Linked DNA regions of Schizosaccharomyces pombe. The protein of the gene in region 1 interacts with the protein of each later gene in a pairwise test. Each region holds a gene or a part of one and is shown on either strand. Other genes may lie near its edges. The genes, in order: rdi1 and SPOM_SPAC23A1.14C.

The links.
Region 2: the proteins of rdi1 (region 1) and SPOM_SPAC23A1.14C interact in a two-hybrid assay, tested with the Schizosaccharomyces pombe proteins (one large-scale study listed by BioGRID).

Annotation. Positions count from the first base shown.
Region 1 is NC_003424.3:1,313,024-1,321,636, forward strand, and holds rdi1 (Rho GDP dissociation inhibitor Rdi1), read left to right. Parts: upstream 1-6,701; 5' UTR 6,702-6,822; coding exon 6,823-7,440; 3' UTR 7,441-8,113; downstream 8,114-8,613. Other genes in the region: fsv1 (SNARE Stx8), read right to left, coding at 698-1,441; tvp15 (COPI-coated vesicle-associated protein), read left to right, coding at 3,076-3,474; tnr3 (thiamine diphosphokinase Tnr3/ Nudix hydrolase fusion protein), read right to left, coding at 4,070-5,779; TOM complex subunit Tom20, read left to right, coding at 8,412-8,460.
Region 2 is NC_003424.3:4,098,929-4,108,290, forward strand, and holds SPOM_SPAC23A1.14C (cystathionine gamma-synthase-like protein), read right to left. Parts: upstream 4,281-9,362; 5' UTR 4,028-4,280; coding exon 2,831-4,027; 3' UTR 2,348-2,830; downstream 1-2,347. Other genes in the region: phenylalanine--tRNA (Phe) ligase beta subunit Frs1, read right to left, coding at 1-1,086, 1,138-1,195; SNARE protein Sec20, read right to left, coding at 5,014-5,694; RNA polymerase II CTD phosphatase Rtr1, read right to left, coding at 6,188-6,781; bbc1 (SH3 domain-containing protein), read left to right, coding at 7,899-9,362.

The DNA.
Region 1 (8,613 bases):
CACATGTTCCCTTAATTCTCAAGAAAGAATCTACTCGTTCAAACTTTTCCTTAATAATGATAATGATAACATGACTACGTATGTTTAATAATAGAAGAGAATATTTTTTAATGAGATGAAGGAATAATATAGCAAAACTTCTGAAAATAAATTGATACAGCTAATTGAAGATATTGTTGTTTATTGTTTACTGCCCTGAATCTAAAAATTTTGAAAGTCTAATAGGTTATTTATTCAAATGTCAAATAAGGAGTTATTAGCGAAACAAAGTTTGTAACAAATGGTTATTAAGCATTCACTCTGCATGCACTATATTCACTTGATTTAAGTCGTCAAAACTAGCTTTGTGAACAAGGGGGACGGCCCTTAAAAGAACACAAAAATGATTTCGATAAGAAATGCGCTAGCAGAAAAATAATTACTAAAGTAGAAAGACAGTCAATGGTTAGAAACTGGAATGTACGAAAAAGTTAATTTCTGTATTCCCTATAAAGGGAAGGTTCGTTTAGCAAAAGAAGTTGAAGATCACAAAAACATTTTCAAAATCGTAAAAAAAAAGTTCGTAAATATCACGGTTATTAAATATAAATAAAAGAACTATATAGCCTAGTTCAAAGAGGACGTGAAATAAAAGAATTAAGTGAAAGTGTAACAGAGTTACAGCAAGTACAATTGCTAAGTGATATTTATTTGCACCCTAAATGGAAGCCACAAGTAATAACAACGCACAAAGGAGCAAAATAATAAAGCATCTGGGATACTGTTTAGCCTTTCGGCTGACCTTGTTTAATCGATTTTTTGCATGATCAAACCTCCTCTCAATTCGATCAGCATCATTATTCATATTATCTAGTAAAACATTTTGTTCGGACAATTCTGTATTCATTGCATATCCCATCCGCTTTTGCCTTTGGACACTTGCTTCGATCCCTCCTAAAGATTCTTCTTGTTCGTTGAGCATTTGCTGATGCATTTGAGCCAAAACGTTTACGTTTATGGGATCAGGGTCATTGCCATCAACCGGATACATGGCCTCCATCTCAATATCAGATCCCTCACTACTCGAAGTCGTTTTTTGTAAAGAAGGAAGGGGAGTTAACTTATTATTCGTACTTGCAACTTGCGGGTTTGCAGAAAAGGCACTTGTTCCGTCAGCAGGAATTGAGGATGCACGCCGCTGCTTCTCAAACTCTTCCTCAGCAGACTCTAACCTCCTTTGCATTCTAATAAGAAATGCTTCGGATTCTCGTACTCTGTACTCTGGGATTTGTGCATTTTTCTCTAATCGCGATTGCTCCTCATTAAGTTTTTGCAATTCTTGCCGAACATCTTTCAATGAAGACTCAATTTCTTCATCGGGATTCTGTCCAAACTCTTCCAACTTCCTCCTGTCTCTTATTTTTTGTGAAACCGAGTCAATGATCAGAAGCAAATTTGACATAGTCGCTGGTTACTTTCTTGAGTAATCATGTTCATCATGCGCCTAAAAACACAAACATTAGTGAAGTTTACAGTAATACGGTGTAATGCCTTTGCTACCAATTCTAGGTTCAATTACAGTAAATTTTGTTTGCAGCAAAAAAAGAGAATCTTTTCGTATGTTTTAAATAAAAAAAAAAGTAAAAATGATTTGCTCATTAGCTGCCAGATCCATTATAGGCATCCTGTGAAATTATCGTATTATTAGAAACCTACTCGTTATTTACACAATTTTTTGAATGCTTCTTTTCGACTCTTCTGATTGTTTTCGGTATTTATCACAAATTTAGTAGTTCTTATTTCACATCTATTAAAAGGTAATCAAGCAAGGTGTAAGGAAAACTTTTTAATTATTGAAAGTTGGTTTGCGTAGTTTCAAAATTAATCAGATAAATTTATACAGCAAGCCCAGTATAAAAAGGGGCCTAACCAGGATTCGAACCAGGGATCACCTCTAAACTCAGCATACAAGTGGGGATTACCCGAAAGAGGTATGTTAACCACTACACTATTAGGCCTAGGTTTCTCATTACAAAATATTAATATAATATATATATAAAATAATTGCGACATAATAAATGTTAAGTACCTCTTTGCTCTGAAAACTAAAATACCAATAATGACGCTTTTCTTTTCATTAGAAGAGAATGTTTATTAAAGAAATATCTTAAAGAAAAATACTACTTAAATATTTATTTAGGAGTTAGTACACTAATTCCAGAGTATTAAATCCAAGTGTAACAAGGTAGGAGTAACAAATAGTTGTTTAATTACAGACAATTAAGTACAGTAGAAAATTACTCAAATATATACAAGGCTTTGGGCCGTTTAAAACGAATCATGCTGATATCTATATTCGGCTAATCGACTTCTTGCTTTATTCTCAGTTTAAAATGGAGTTTTTTTTTATAGCGTTACGAATTAGAAATAGATGTAGCCGTCTATCAAAGTTGACATTGCACGTGAAATTATCATTATAAACATAATCAAATGAATGGCAAAGCGATCAAAATAAGAAGGAATTTTACTACGTTATAAAACATTCGGCTTTTTATTTTACTTTATTCTTTTTTATTCAGGTGCATCTGATAATAATCGCGTGAAACTTGAGTGCAAAAAATTTTACAGCCCTGTAGATCCCGAGTGAGAGTAGATCACATATAGCTAAAGGAGCTCGTATGAAACTAAGATACAAATACATTTGTTTACGAACGTTTGACAAATATATAAATTGACCCACAGACCTTAAAATTGTCAACAACAGTTGTCTCAAAAAAAAGCCGGGTCGAAAGTACATTATTTACTAAATGATAGTGTTTTTAACTTCAAAAACAGTACAAAGAATGCTATAGAAAACAAAATGCATTTTCGATGAATTGAATTATTCATTTTCTGTAAACAACAAAAAGTTGGTTGAGAATTATGGAATTCGTTATTTTTATTTACCGTATTTCAATAGTTCGTAAATATGCATGACCGCATCGGTAAGCATAGGCAGGCTTAGTAACTTGCATTTCTCTTTGTCTTTAAGCAAACATCGACTAAAATACATATTGCTTGAAAAATTTAATATTGGTTGCATACACTTAATTCACAATGGATAAAACAAAAATGTTTAGTGCCATTAATTTGGGCGTAGGTGGTATCTTCGTTTTAAGCGGATTTATCAAGTTATTTTCATTTAGCTTCGTAAACGCTTTACTTGCATTGTTCATCATCGTTTTCGGTTTGGGAACTATTGGTTTAGAAAAGGAAATTCCTCCTATTGCTATTAAATATGGATCGTTCATGTTCTCATTCTTAGGAAGGGGCTTCTTCTACGCTTTCATGGGTACTTTACTCTTTTCTTACTCCGGGTTTACTTCTTTCCTAGGCTTTTTAGTTCTTCTTGCAGGTATCGCCTACTGTGGTGCAAACTACGTAGCAGGATTGCAAGACTACGCTCCCAGAAGCATGCGTGATAATGATTGGGATGATAACGTTGATGAAGTGTAGACTTTTTTTTATTTCTAACTATATTATTTGATTCGGTTCTTGTTCCTACCCCCCTCTTTTCCCGATGTCCTCCTACATATGATTTATTCTGGATACATTCGTTTTCTTCAGGGTAGGTGTTCTAAAAGACAGTCACTTTAGCAGTCATCCTCAGAGTAGTTAATGAGTATAAATATGTATACGATCTCTTAACTATGTATAATTTTTGTATATCAACATTAGCGTAGTAGCTATGGTATTTGTGATGGGTTTTAGGGTTATACATTCAAATACCTTTAATTGTCCAGCTTGGATTCTGAACTGTCGGGTGTATCGAGGAGGATAAAAATGACATGTCAAGCTCAACAATATGAAAAATTATGATTTTTTTCTATTTCTTCACTTTCTGAGATGTATCTTGCAGTTCAAAATGTTAGTTGGCTTTACTAAAATTCTATTTTATTTCATTACTCTAATCAATTATCTTTTTGCTTTATGACCATTACCGCTTATACTCTATAGATGTTTTATATTTTTTATATCTAAATAAATATCTTAATTTTTTTGAGCTGTTGGGAATAATGAATATTCTTTCTGAGTTTCTTACTTACAGGTCTTATAGACGTGTTTCCATTGTCCATACTATAAAATTGTTGACCTCTATAGTCACCGTTGCTTTTGTCACTACATTGCAAGAGCTGACGAGTCCTCCAAATTGACAAATGCGATCCTCAATATTCCACTCAAGGCCGCTGGTTTTTTTAACATACACACTCTGTCCTACTGGCAGAAGACCGCAATGTAAACCAATGTTGTCGTGACAATCAACATGATTTATTCCGGGTTGAAGCAAAGTTGATACATTCAATTCAGTTAATAGAAATACTTCATTCTTTTCAGAAATCGAGGCGGCCCAGAATAGATGGTTTAAATTACCAATGGCATGATCAACTCTTCCACCCATGCCACATAATACAAAAATAGTATCAATCCCATGTTCTTTAATTATTTTATGGCATTTCATAAAGTCAGTGGTGTTTTGGCATGGGTCGAATACAATGTTGACTCCCATTTCTTTATAATAAGCTTTAGTTTCATCTGTTAACGAATCAAAGTCACCAACGACATAATCCGGTTTGAGCGAAGAATCGTAATTTCTCAATTGGTTAGCACCACCGTCTGCGCAGACTCGGATACTAGCTCTTTTCCATAAAGTACGAAATCTATCATCCGGTATATCTATGGGTTGATTTAATAGTAATACCGCAAACTTTTGATCAGTATCATAGTCACGTAACCAAGCCTTACATGGAGCTAGCTGATGAGTGGCTTTTTGGGGTTTTGCAGGAACACACGTTTCAGCTTTCTTTGAAGTATCTTCAAAAGAATCCCCTCTTTCATATTTTCCAACAGGAACAGGCAACGGTCTATGTATCCGTTCTAAAGTTTGGAGATACTGAGGATGCTGTGGAGTAATGATACCATGACGGATTAAAAAGTCTAAAAGAACCAGAGCACAATTTGGCTTAAAACTTTTTAATTCAAGTTCATGAAGTACTTGATTCAATGGTAATAAACTGAAACCAGCGACTTCTCCATCATTAATTCTTGGGATAACAAGATCATCAACAGGTAAATCGAATACATATTGTAACTCGGGCTGAATCCAATGCCTTTTCTCCATTTTGATGTAGGAGACAGTGCCACAAGGAATAAGATTCATAGAAGAAACGTCCAAATTAGCTTCTTCAGAAAATTCCTTTATCATAGTGCCTATGACTGAATCACCATGAGCAATTCCGCCGGCAACGCTATTATCTAAATAATTGGGCCACGTTTGTTTAGTCGGTGATCTTCGTGGTACCCAAATACGAAGAGGATGTTCTTTAGTTGCTGGAATATACATGGTACAATGCACACCAGTGCTCAAAAAACCGAATAACCAAAATCCGCCCCGTTCAACGGCCAATACAGGCTTTTTAGATTTTCCATAAACAGTATATAATTCATTCCTCCATTGATCAGCAATTCCAAATGTATTGTTATGGCGCCAATGCTCCAGTACCTTAGCTAAGATGTCAGTTCTTTTTTCAAAAGTAGATGCGTTTATTTCAATATACTCTCCTGGAACATAAACCCAATTGAATTTGAAATTATCCGCCTTTATGAGGATTTCTAGTACCAAAGGGGTAACATATCCAATGGCAGCGCCATTTGCACGGAAGGGAATTGTTCCAGGAACAAATTCCCCATTAAAAGAATCGCATTCATCTAAAAGCTCTTCGGCATTTAATTGTTTAGCAGAGGTGATAGACGACATTGCCATTACCTTGCCCAAATTTTCCTCTCAAATGGATAGTGTTCTAAAATAAAACAGGAATAAAAAAGGCTAGTGTATTTATGCGAAGGAGACACTTATGGTTCAATTCAACATAAATAGAATAATATATAAAACACCCTATACTAGCAAATGGTAAAAGCTCAAGGAAACTGGTTCCTGGTAGTAGAAATCGGGTAGTTGACTAAAACCTTATCGTATAACGAAATGCTAATCTATTAAACCCCTTTCAAAATGATCTTTAAAAACAAAAAAGAAGTTGATATTAAACAAACAGTACCTTAATCAAGGTAATCTAGTAATTGTCTTTCAAGAGTGTGGTCTACGAGGAAAATTACAATGGGAGCAGAACTCCGTGCCAGGAATGTCTTGGTATTAAAAATAATAGCACACAGATTGGCTTACTAATTTTCACTTTAACACCAACCGCCGTTTTTGTAATTAATTAGGGTTTGGTATAGTTAAGCGTATCTTTCACATGATTTTTATTTTCAGTGGACTTCCTTCGTAAGTTTTTTAATAATAATTCCTGAAGTGATTGATAATTTTTCCGCTAAACGTATCAAATCTGGTTGTATAATAGTTATCGACTACAGCTATAACTTGCTGCTCAAACAATTTCATGTAAAGAACATCTGCCTACAGAAAAGCTAGCATAGAAAGTTCCTTCTTTTTTACGTCTCATAAGACGTCAATGCTTGGGATTACTCCAACATATTTACATGTATAAAAGCATGGATAATGACACTAAAAAAAAAATCGAAGGGAATAGAAAGAAAAAAAAAATCTTATACTTTTCTCACGCTTTTCTGCATCTCCGTTATATTTAAAATAATCCAAGTCACCGAAATGTTAACATAGTAGTACATCTGGTTATATTGTTGAGATAGCAATATGCTATGTTCCCTTTGCCAATTTCAACTCTAGAACAGTACATTAACAAAACAACGAATCTGAACTTTTTTTATAAAAACAAATTGTCCTTGGTTTAGCTACTGGCAGATAATTAAATTCTATTGCGTTGTTTTAAAATGAGTGTTAACAATGAAGTATCCGCTGATCAACATAACCCTGAACTAGAGGATGATACATTTGAGCATGGACCTCCGGTTTCTCTGGGAGAAAAGAAATCACTTAATGAATATATGAAGATGGATGCCGAAGATGAATCATTGCAGAAATGGAAAGCATCTCTGGGTATCACGGGAACAGGTTATTCACCCTCGAATGATCGTAGAACAGTTGTTATTTTAAAGCTGAGTTTACTTGTTGACGGCCGTGACCCAGTTGATGTTAACATGGAAGATGCAGCAAGTGTCGAACAAATCCGCAAGAAAGGGTTCACTATTAAGGAAGGAAGCGAGTTTAAGATTGGTGTTAAATTTCGTGTACAACACGAAGTAATTTCAGGCTTAAGATATGTCCAAACTGTTCGCAGACGTGGCTTTGTTGTTGACAAAACATCTACCATGATTGGCTCCTATGGACCTTCTGAAACACCTTATGATTTTACCTCTGAACCAGATGAGGCACCTACAGGTATGCTGGCTCGCGGACATTATGAAGCCAATGGAAAGTTTGTTGATGATGATAAAGTGGTCCATCATGAATTTGTTTGGGCTTTTGACGTTGCAAAAAGCTGGAAGTAGTCATTATTTATGCCAGCCTTATTTTTTAAAATCGTAAATTTCAAATCTACTTGGTTATTCAAAATTCTCGGTATTCAGTACTATAAAGAAATTTATAGTGATGTTTTGTTACAAAGCAAACATTTTCCTTTTTCTTACCAATTTCTTTCACATATCGGTGTCTGGACTACAATTGAATATGGTAATGACGATTTCTTACCACCTTCTTCAGTGAAACTTTACTTCACCCAAATATCTCGGATTGTTTGGAGATTGCCTTTTGTTGTGCAAATTACTTTTATAGCTTACATATGATCTTCACATATTCCCCTTTAGCAATCTACGTTGTTTCTTTTAAATCTCGTTCCAAAGCTTACAAATGCGATATTTTGGAAGGATATATACATCCGACTATATTCTTTTCACTGAAATTATGAGTTTTGAGATTTTGATTAAATTTTTCCAAGTATCTTATACTTTTCCACTTTTCCTTGTTGTCACCAAAGAAGTACATAGAAAACAATACAAATAGCTATTAACTAGCCTGATTAGTCCCTTTGATGGGAATTACTAGAATACTATTGTAACGGTAATAACTCATTCTTAAACTCATTTCAACGTATCTCGCTCGACTTTGAGAAAATCCTACATAGTGCTTGAAACTTAACTTTTTATTTTAATACTTCACACTGATTAAAAGATTGATTAATGAATCCTAAACCCATAAAAAGTTATTGAGCGCAAAGCTACTGTCTTAATATAGTTTTACTGCAGTAGAATAGAGACATCGTTAACTTGGTTTCTTGGTATCACACTTTTTCTTTCACTAATTCTTTGCACATCATTTGCTAGACTCTCATCTTTCACCTACTTGGTTTGGTGTAATCCGTTCCTATTCCTAACGTATTATAGATTTCCACTAAGTAGTCTGGAAATCTCGTTGTTTTAACAGCCAGCTGTCGTTAAAAATCATCTTTTATTTTTTGATAAATATGAGGCGATCAGTTATTATTGGATCCTTGCTTGCTACTGCCGCTGTTGGTAAGTTTCTAAATTTTGAAAAAGCATTGTTATGATGATTAGATTTTTGAGATAAGCGGGCGTTTGTTTTCTCTTTTTGATCTTGAAAATAGAAGTACTGTATTTCAGTCGAGATTTTATTGATAGGGTTAAACATTGATCTTGTTCAATAAG
Region 2 (9,362 bases), 2.8 Mb from region 1:
CAAAAGGCTTGCCAAATGTAACACTATGAGCAGGATAAGTGTGTTTCAAATTGTCATATCCATAAGCAATGCCAAGATCCTCCATAATATCACACTGGTGAAGAATATCAGCGCGCAAGGGTGGAACGTATACCAAAAGAGTCTTGGAATCATTTGGGTTGGGCTTTGCTGTAAGCATCATTCGGGTCAACAAATGACAGATCTCATCTTCGGGAAGGGACAATCCACAGGCTTCGTTCAAATAGTCGATATCAGCTTTAAAACATGTAGGATTCAAATTAGGAGTAACACGAGTACACCCATTGTGCTCAGATATGATATTAACAGGCTCAATGGTAAAAGGCTCTTCACAGTAACAAGAGAACATCGTGGTCATCATGTTGACAACAATTTCGAGTTTAGTTTTATCGGTTGCGGTAACATCGATGAAGATGTCCCGGGTATCCACACTGATCTTACTGAACTCACTATTAATGATAGGGGGAAGTGAGCAAACCCTTCTCTTAGCATCCAAAATTACAGGATATCTGGGAGAGTTGGCAATGATGTGTAAATAACGGGAAAGATGTTTACTATCCTTGTAAAATTCTAATAAATTAGAACCATTGATTTCCTGGGTTTGATTCAAAGGAACGAAATTGATCTCTTCGGGTTTTAATGCCTCGTAGGTAAACGGACCTTCCATTACAGAGAAGTCATGGGTACCAATGGCTACAAGGGTACGGTTTCTACACAAATTTGCATGTAACTTGTCTTGTAAGGCAATGAAGCTCTGGTAACGAATGGGATCAAGCTTCACACCTCGTAAGATAGCTGCAGCGGCATAAGGACGAATTTCCGAGGTTTCAGGGGAAATTGTGAGTGAAGTGGTGGAAGGAAGTAATTTGTATTGAGGAGTAGCCATGCGACGATTAAACACATTCAAAGCCTGGGCGATTCCTTCTAAGCAGAGCATATCGTAGCGATTTGCCGGAATGTCAATTTTTAAAGAAGGACGCTCAGAAGGACTTCTTTCTGGGTCATTTGTAGTGTCTTCATCAAGCTCAATTCCAAATTGGAAGCAGAGTTCATCAAACTCTTGAGTTGCTACAATTATGTTAAATTTCGCTGCTTATCAACAAATCATCTTTCACTTACTGTACTCTCTTCCTAGGGCCTTGTACAGCTCTTCCTTGTCACAGCTGATGGTAGGCATTTCCTCAAATTCAAAAAGCTTCAAAGGATCTGTGGTGAACGATGGGCTTGCCTGAACCGGGCCTACTTTACCACACTAGGAAGGGTGATCCACTAAATCTGAAGTGACTTGTTACTTGTTTTAGATTTAATCGGCCTTGGCTAGCATAGGAGTTTGGTAGGAATATATTCGTAATATAATAAATTAATATTCATTTTATACTCTGAGATATTCCATAAATACAAAACTCACGAGCTACTGATTTGTACATGCTTCAGGCCCCTATTACTAAAGCTCGAGATGATAAAAGGTAATGCAACAAATTCATAATAGCACAATTGCAATATAAATCAAACTTCTTTTGATTTATAGTCTTCTAGTCATATATTTTAAAACAACCGGCATGTAATAGCCGCATCATGAATACAATGATTTTCATTCAACAATAAAAATTTTAAGTGGTAGGTGAGATGACGATGCTGCAAATAATACCTACCTAGTAGAAATTATTGACTGGTGTACCCTTTTATCAAAAAATGAATTATAAAGGTGCCAACCACGACTCACAATTGATGAAGTATTTTGTATTTTTCTAGTGAAACATCGTCAAACCATACTTTTTTTAAGTTCAGCAAAGCCATAATTGAAAATTCTATTTAGAAAAATGGTGCTTATAATACTTCAAGCAGCCTTCATGCCAAAAAGCTCCTTGACTCCGTATGAGCATTTCAGCAGGTGCCAAAGTAGCGACGGAGTCATCGGCAGATAAACCACATAAATGACAAGTGTCCTTATTATCTCCTAAATTGTCTGGTAAAAACTTGACTTCAATCTCCTGAGTTCCCGAAATTTGCTGACGGGACAGGAAGCGCAGACGAGGAAACAATCGCGCCCATGCATTTACGACCTGTTGAGATTTCCAGTAATTAGGATTGCCTTTCCTTAAACAACCCGCAATACACCTTTGAGCAACCTGTCCTGCAGCGAACACCCCTTTGGTGTAAACCTGAGTTTTGGGGTTGCTTAACGCCGTTTGTTTTTCAGAGAATGATAAATTCGACAACTCTTCAAAAAATTCGCTCGGAAAGGCCAACTCATGTTCAACAAGTAAATCAAGTACCTCTGTCGCAGACACCTTTCTCAATGCCTGAGAACCAGGTATAGGCAAATCATCTTCCAAATCTAGTAATGCTATTGAGTCCAGGTTGATACGATTTTATTATTAATTTCTTTAAATCGTTTTTTTTAGAAAAATTCTTTAACAGAAAAGAGAAAAAGTACCTTCACTTAGTTTTTATACGTGAGTTCTTTTTTGGTTATAGTTTGAATCATGAAGGGTTGAAAAGTCCATCCTGGACAATTGAGGGAATACTTAGTTATGAACAAGTAAAGGCTTTGATGGGTTTTGTTAATGCCAAGCATGTTCGAAGGTTAAAGAATGAAAATGATCGGGTTGATGACCTAGAACATGACATCTCACCGATTCTATCGTACCCTTCGCTTTACTGTTGCAATAGCGATCAAGGTGAATTTTTACGTGAAACACAACAATACAAAAAATTGCAAAGAAAGATAGCAAGAATTAAAAATGTTCTCAAAAGGAACGAATTACAATATTCATTAGTACATTAGAAAACAAGCAAATAACACAATGATTTAACTTAAAGATGCAAAGACACGATTCAAATCGGCAATCAAGTCAGCAGCGTCTTCAATACCAATGGACAAGCGAACAAGTCTAGGATCAATCTTGGAATCCGTCATTCTTCGCCATTCAATCAAACTTTCCACACTACCCAACGAAGTAGCGTGATGGAAATATTTCAACTCGCAGCACAAATGCTTAGCAACTGTGTCAGATTTAAGTAGAACAGAAAAGCAAGATGCATGACCGCCAGTCAAATTTTTAGCGACAAATTCCTTGGTCTGCAAGGAGTTATGGTAAACCTCCAAAATCAGGCTACTATCAATTCCTAGGCTAGTAGCAAATTGCTCATCGGTAGCCAACTTGTTCAAATGTTGGGCAACCAAAAATCCGTTTTCACTGTGTTTTGCGATGCGAAGAGGAAAGGTACGAAGAGAGCGCAAGAGTAAGAATGCTTGCTGAGGATGTAAAATTGTGCCAAGATAAGCACGATCTGCTTTCAAATCAAGGATCTTGGATCTATCTTTCGAGGCTGTGACTCCAGCCAAAACATCGCTGTGGCCGGCTAGATATTTAGTCGCCGAGTGAACTACATAATCAGCACCTAAAACAAGTGCATCCTGGATAGGGGGTGGTGCAAAAGTAGAATCCACAACAAGTATGGCACCCTTCTTTTTTGCCAGTTCCTTGTAAAAAGGAATGTCAAAGGCAATACCTAAAGGATTCAAAGGAGTTTCCAACCATATAACATCACCTTCACCGATGGCATCGCATTTGCCATCAATAAATGAGGTTTCTAAACCGGTTAGACGATTGATGCGTGCAATAATTTGGATTGTGCCTGAATAACCACCGAAACCGGGTTTATGAACGGCGATGTGTTTGGGATTTAAATACGACAACAGTCCGTAAATAGCAGCCAAACCAGATGAGTAAACAACAGAAGGTGCACCAAGAACACTGCTCAACGAAGCTTCAGCTCGATCAACATTGTTGCCGCTGATACGGGCATAGTATGGAAAGTCTTCCTCCGCTAGTTTGGTGAAAGGCTGAAGAGTGTCAGGAGTACCGGGATAAGTATAAGTAGTAGAAATATGGATGGGAGGAGCCACATCATTTTCTAATGCATAAGCATCATCGGCATGCAGTACATTAGTACTTAATGTGGACTTGATGTCAGAGAGATCGAACGAAGGAGTGTGAGTCATGCTAAACTAAAGAAAAAAAAACAGAGATGAAATGCAGAAAGGTCACAACAAATGAATTTCGAGAAAACTAGTGTTTACACGTTTACGGAATTAATAATGTTTATATCTAATTGAATGCTCCTACACTAGTAATCACCAATCGACCAAAGAAATAAGTACGAGATCAAACGACAGATACCTAGTTATGATAATTCTTTTAAAGACTTATATCTCCGTTAACTAACGTAAAGAGTTTGGTTAAAGACAAGTTGTTGTGAGACATCGCGGGGCATGTGCCTTAATTTATATCGTTATGCTTACGTGCTTGTAAACACTATATTACGCATTTGAAGTAGAAAGCACACAAACAAATAGAACCAGGACACTGAATAATTAGAACGTTTGGTTAATGAATTTTTACATAAGCAGTTATTAGTTTTAAGTTTATAGGTTTAATGGAGTTTGCTATCCGATCTCAGATTCTAGGCGTTCGTACCGGACCCTAGAAAATATGCGACAGACTTAACAAGATGCGTTTCCCAATTAACAAGCGCTCTAGTTTTTATTAGGAATTCAAAGAATACTGCTCTTTTTGTACTGTGGTCAAACAAATGGTTTTGACAATCAAAGAGGCATATACAATAAGAATGATTTGAAATGCAGCTGCATGCCGACTGTCGCATATTTCGTGAGCAAGAACTCATTTTGTTTACGGAATGGCGTTTCCCATTGAGTTACAAATACTATAGCATTACTATCATCAGCAAACTTCTACGCCATTCAACGTTTTTATTTAAAGAGAACAACACGTAAATAAAAACCAATCGTATAAGATAAACATTAAAACATAAGAACTACTTTACAAAGACTTTTTCAAAATAAAATTGAGAAAAAGGGCGAAAAAATAATTTCTCGTATAGATACTTCGAGCTCGATGGGAACGAGCCTCAAAAAGCCTTGCTTTTAATCTCGCCTTTCTTTTTAATAAACAATGCATTTTCAAAATCTCACCGAAGAAACCAAAGAAACATAGAAAGAATAGGCCAGACAATTCGCTTGAAGAGAAGATAGACAACCACAAATATGAAGAACCCAAATCCCGAGACGACTAAAAAGTAATCACTTCGATCACTTAATTTGAGCGATTTGATTATCCGTTTACTTGTATATAAAACGTCCTCTACACCAAAATATTTCTCTTGTAGAGTTTCTAACAAGTTGGTACTCGAAGACAACTCCATTGCATTTTCGGCACTCATATCCACTGCCTGTACCATTTGTGCGTGAATATCACGCATAGCCGCCGTGACCTGACTGGCGCTTGTAAGATAAATATCATCAGATTGCCACGAACCAGAGTTATCCATTGAACGCTTTTGAAGAGAACCATCACTTGGTGAGGTAATTTCCTCTTCATCTACAATCTTACCTATTTCTTGTGCGATAGGCAACCATGGTTCACCACTAGCAATCTTATTCCGATATCTTCTGTTCAACCGAATGTATTCTTGTACAGCCTTTTCATATCGTAGAACTGAGTCTAGCTGAATGGATGAGTATTCAAGCTCTACCCTTGCAGTTTCCCATATTTTTCTAAACTCTCGAAAATGCCTTTTAATAACTTCAACGCTTTCTGACTGTTGTAATTCAACAACTTTTTCTTCTAGTGCATTCAGAACGTCGGCCATCGAATGCTATGTTCTCTGCTTTATTGAACAAGTTAAAGGAGAAATAGTATTATGAGATGCAAGAGGAAAGAACGATAAAGGTAAATGATGATGAGTGGGAAACGAATGATGGATGCACTAACAATATAGCACAGCTGAAGGTGAATATAAGACTATACATCGAAAGGTTCGGTATATAGAATAAGGAAAAGAAATCAAATGCGGAATTATAAATAACGAGAAATAAAGATGCTAAGAGAGAGAAAGAGACAATAAAGATAGAAGGCAATAAGGTGAAATAAATTAGAAAGTGTAAATGGTAAAGGGAATATTGTATCGATCTTTAATAAAAAGTCGAAAACCACAGAAATGTTACTATGCACGCAACTGTAGAATGAAGCAACCTTTCATTCTAGTTCAAACGACGCTAGACACAAGTCGGTGTCTTTTTTGTTCAAAAATATTATACATATTCTGGGGTGAAAAGAAAAAATTTGATAAACTTCCATTTGCTTTATGATTGTTCATTAGCCAAAGGATGTTCAACGATTTCACCAACTTTTGCCTTATAACCCACAGGCAACGCTTGCAGGAGTAAGCGTACATCTTCAATTTTTTTGTTTTCCAACTCTTTACGAAATGCTTCATCTTGACGAGGATCGAGATGTTGTTTCATAGCTTCGCGAGCATCTTCACGTATCCATAATGGTTCGTCGCTCAACTCAACCATATATTGACAACTTTTTAGAAAGCAATCCTTCGAGCAATAATAGTTGAGTCCACCGTAGACCTTCATTCCTGAATCTTCTAATTTATACCTAGTTTGCTGCTTAGGTTCATAAGGACAAACGGGATAACCGCACAGATTGACGAGTTTACGCTCCTTCACCACTTGATCGTAATCACTTTTTCGAAGGTATTTACGAGCTTCCTCTAAAGTTTCTAGGGAAACCGGATCAACCAGCTTTTCAATCCATTCGAGGGCAAAAAAATCATACTGAAGTCGACTGCGTGCTTCATCTATAAGACTCTTCGACCACGTGATCAATTGCTTTTCTTGAGTGCTTTGAGCATTTTTCGGCTTTTTGAGAATTGATTTTTTGTTCATATCTGAATTGGATATATTGGAGTCAGCTGGAAAACAGAAGGTCTTAAAAATCGCTATTAGGCAGATATGAGTCAGTCAAGCATTGGAAGGAGGAATGAGCATCGTAAAAATACTTTAGCGCCGTGCAATTTTTGTTAAAGAGTTCTTGAGTTACGCAATTCATTTACAGCGAACTAAGACAGTGCGTTGGCCTTGGTACTAAAAATTTTGATAGAAATTACCCTCTCAGTTGAGTGTGGACAAAGGAAAAAAAATAAAGAAAAGCATGCGTTGCACCAATCATGTAAAGAAAGTTTTGTAGGTCTCTTTAAGAAAATCATTTTACCGTTAAAAATAATAATGATAAATTTACATCCACCCTATTCATATCTTCCACTAGTAAATAACTGGTCCTTAATCTTAATGATTCATATCCATATCCATACCATACCCCACACCCACACAGTAATCGTAAATATAGCAAACCAACGATGCTGTGGCTTCGTTTTAGGATTGCTAGTGTATCCTTATGTAAAATAGGAAACCAGATCCAATTGCGTAAATATTATTATAACGTTAAATAACAAAAACCAATCAACATTGATAAGCAAAATAATACCCAATAATCTTACAGTGCATTACGCTACCTTTGGCTAGTCGAACGAATCACTGTCAACAAGATGTTACGATTGGAAGGGAATTCCCCAGATCCTTTCCCCACAATGTTCATTCATTGAAAATCGTCTCACATGTAGTCAGTCGCTTCTTCACGTGCGATATTATCATTTGGGTGTTTATTGCTGTTAAGATTGACCAAACTTCTTTGTCTGCACAAATCGCGTGCCCTTTAGGAACCAAAATGACAGTGTACTGGCTTAGATATCCTAATAGAAGAGATTAACGATGACGTTCAGCTTCGCTATCATTTGTATATATTTTTAGTGGTAAAATAAATCGGCGGAGCCTTCATCTTTGGTATCTTGTTTTCTCTTTTTTTGGCTTTTTGTATATCTGTGTTTTAGGAAAAAAGAATCAGTGTATTGTATATTGAATGGTACCATTCTTTTTATACTGGTTCATTGTTTATCTGATCTCTCTTTGTACTTAAAAAAAGTATTAGCGGATCGCAGGCTCCACGATGAGCTCGTTTCCCACAAGAGTGGTTGCACTCTATCCTTATAGAAGCAGCTTCTCCGATGACTTGGAATTTGATCCAGGCCAAGTTATCGACGTCGTCAGTAATCTGGACGGCGACTGGTATACCGGAACATATGTGGACTCGGACGGTAACAGGAAAATTGGCTCCTTTCCAAAGGACTTTACCGAGCCAGCAGAGGATGCTGTGTTTGTAGAACGTGCTAGCGAAATGGCTCTTCATCAACCTACGCCAACTAGTGCTGTTCATTCTCGCAACTCTTCCTTAGGTTATGCTCCTTCTATTACACGTAGCATCAAGTCGATTTCCAACAATACAGAGCATCTTGGTGCCGATACAGAATCATATCTTTCAGCTAATGACTTTATTGACAGTACAAGTGAAGCACTTACGAAGATAGTTGATGTGGATACATTGAGTGCGCCATTCGGTAACGACAGCAACTCGCGTCCACATTCTTTAAAAAATGTGGAAAAATTGCATACATTCTCAGCTCCATATACCATATCTGAAGAGACGCCATCTTGCTCCACTGAGAACGACTCGCTACCACTTACCGCTACTCACACTATTACTGGTGGTGAGGATGCTGCTACCGGTGCTGCTGTAACCAACACCACCACTACCCACATTACTACTTCCACCAACACGTCTACCGTCATCCCCTCTAACCCAAATTCAGTTTTTCTTGTCGATTGTACTCATTCACAGTGCCCAACTGATTTACCAAACATCGCAACTACCCAACACTCTTTAAGGTATCTTGATAACGCATCTGCATCCGCAATAACCGTTTTGGAACGCACTCATCCCGCAGCTTCTTCCACCATGGCTACTGAGTCCTCCCATCAATCTCCGTCTGCGGACTCACAGGCAGAAGAATTATCAAAGAGCCAGCGAGTTGCAAAGGATGACGATCCTTTTGTTGTTTCCAATACTGCGAATTCCGATGAGCCAGCTTCAAGCTCAAAGCCCGCTAAACCCCTTACTGATTTGAATCGAGCCTTTTCTCAGCGCCTTAACTTGGATCCTCAAAAGCCCGGTAAATCACAGGGCGAAATCAGTGAGCAGGAGGAAGATGAATATGACGATGCTGAGTCAGATGAGATGCACAGTCCCTATAGCACTCACGAACCCGAATCTGAACCTGAAGACCAGGATGAACCATCGGAAAAGGATGATGAGAATAAAGATGTAGAGGAAGAACAAGAACAAGAGCAGGAGGAAGAACAAATTGATCCCGAAGAAGCTAAACGAATTGCCCTACGCGAACGAATGGCAAAAATGAGTGGAGGTATTGGTATGCATGTTTTTGGATTGCCTGGTCTAGCTGCACCTATTGGACGGAAAAACACTTTGAGGAGAACTCCTGCCAAATCCTCCGAGGAAGCAAAGAGCACCACTAATGACTCTTCTCCACCAAAAGACTCTTCTTCCACTTCTACT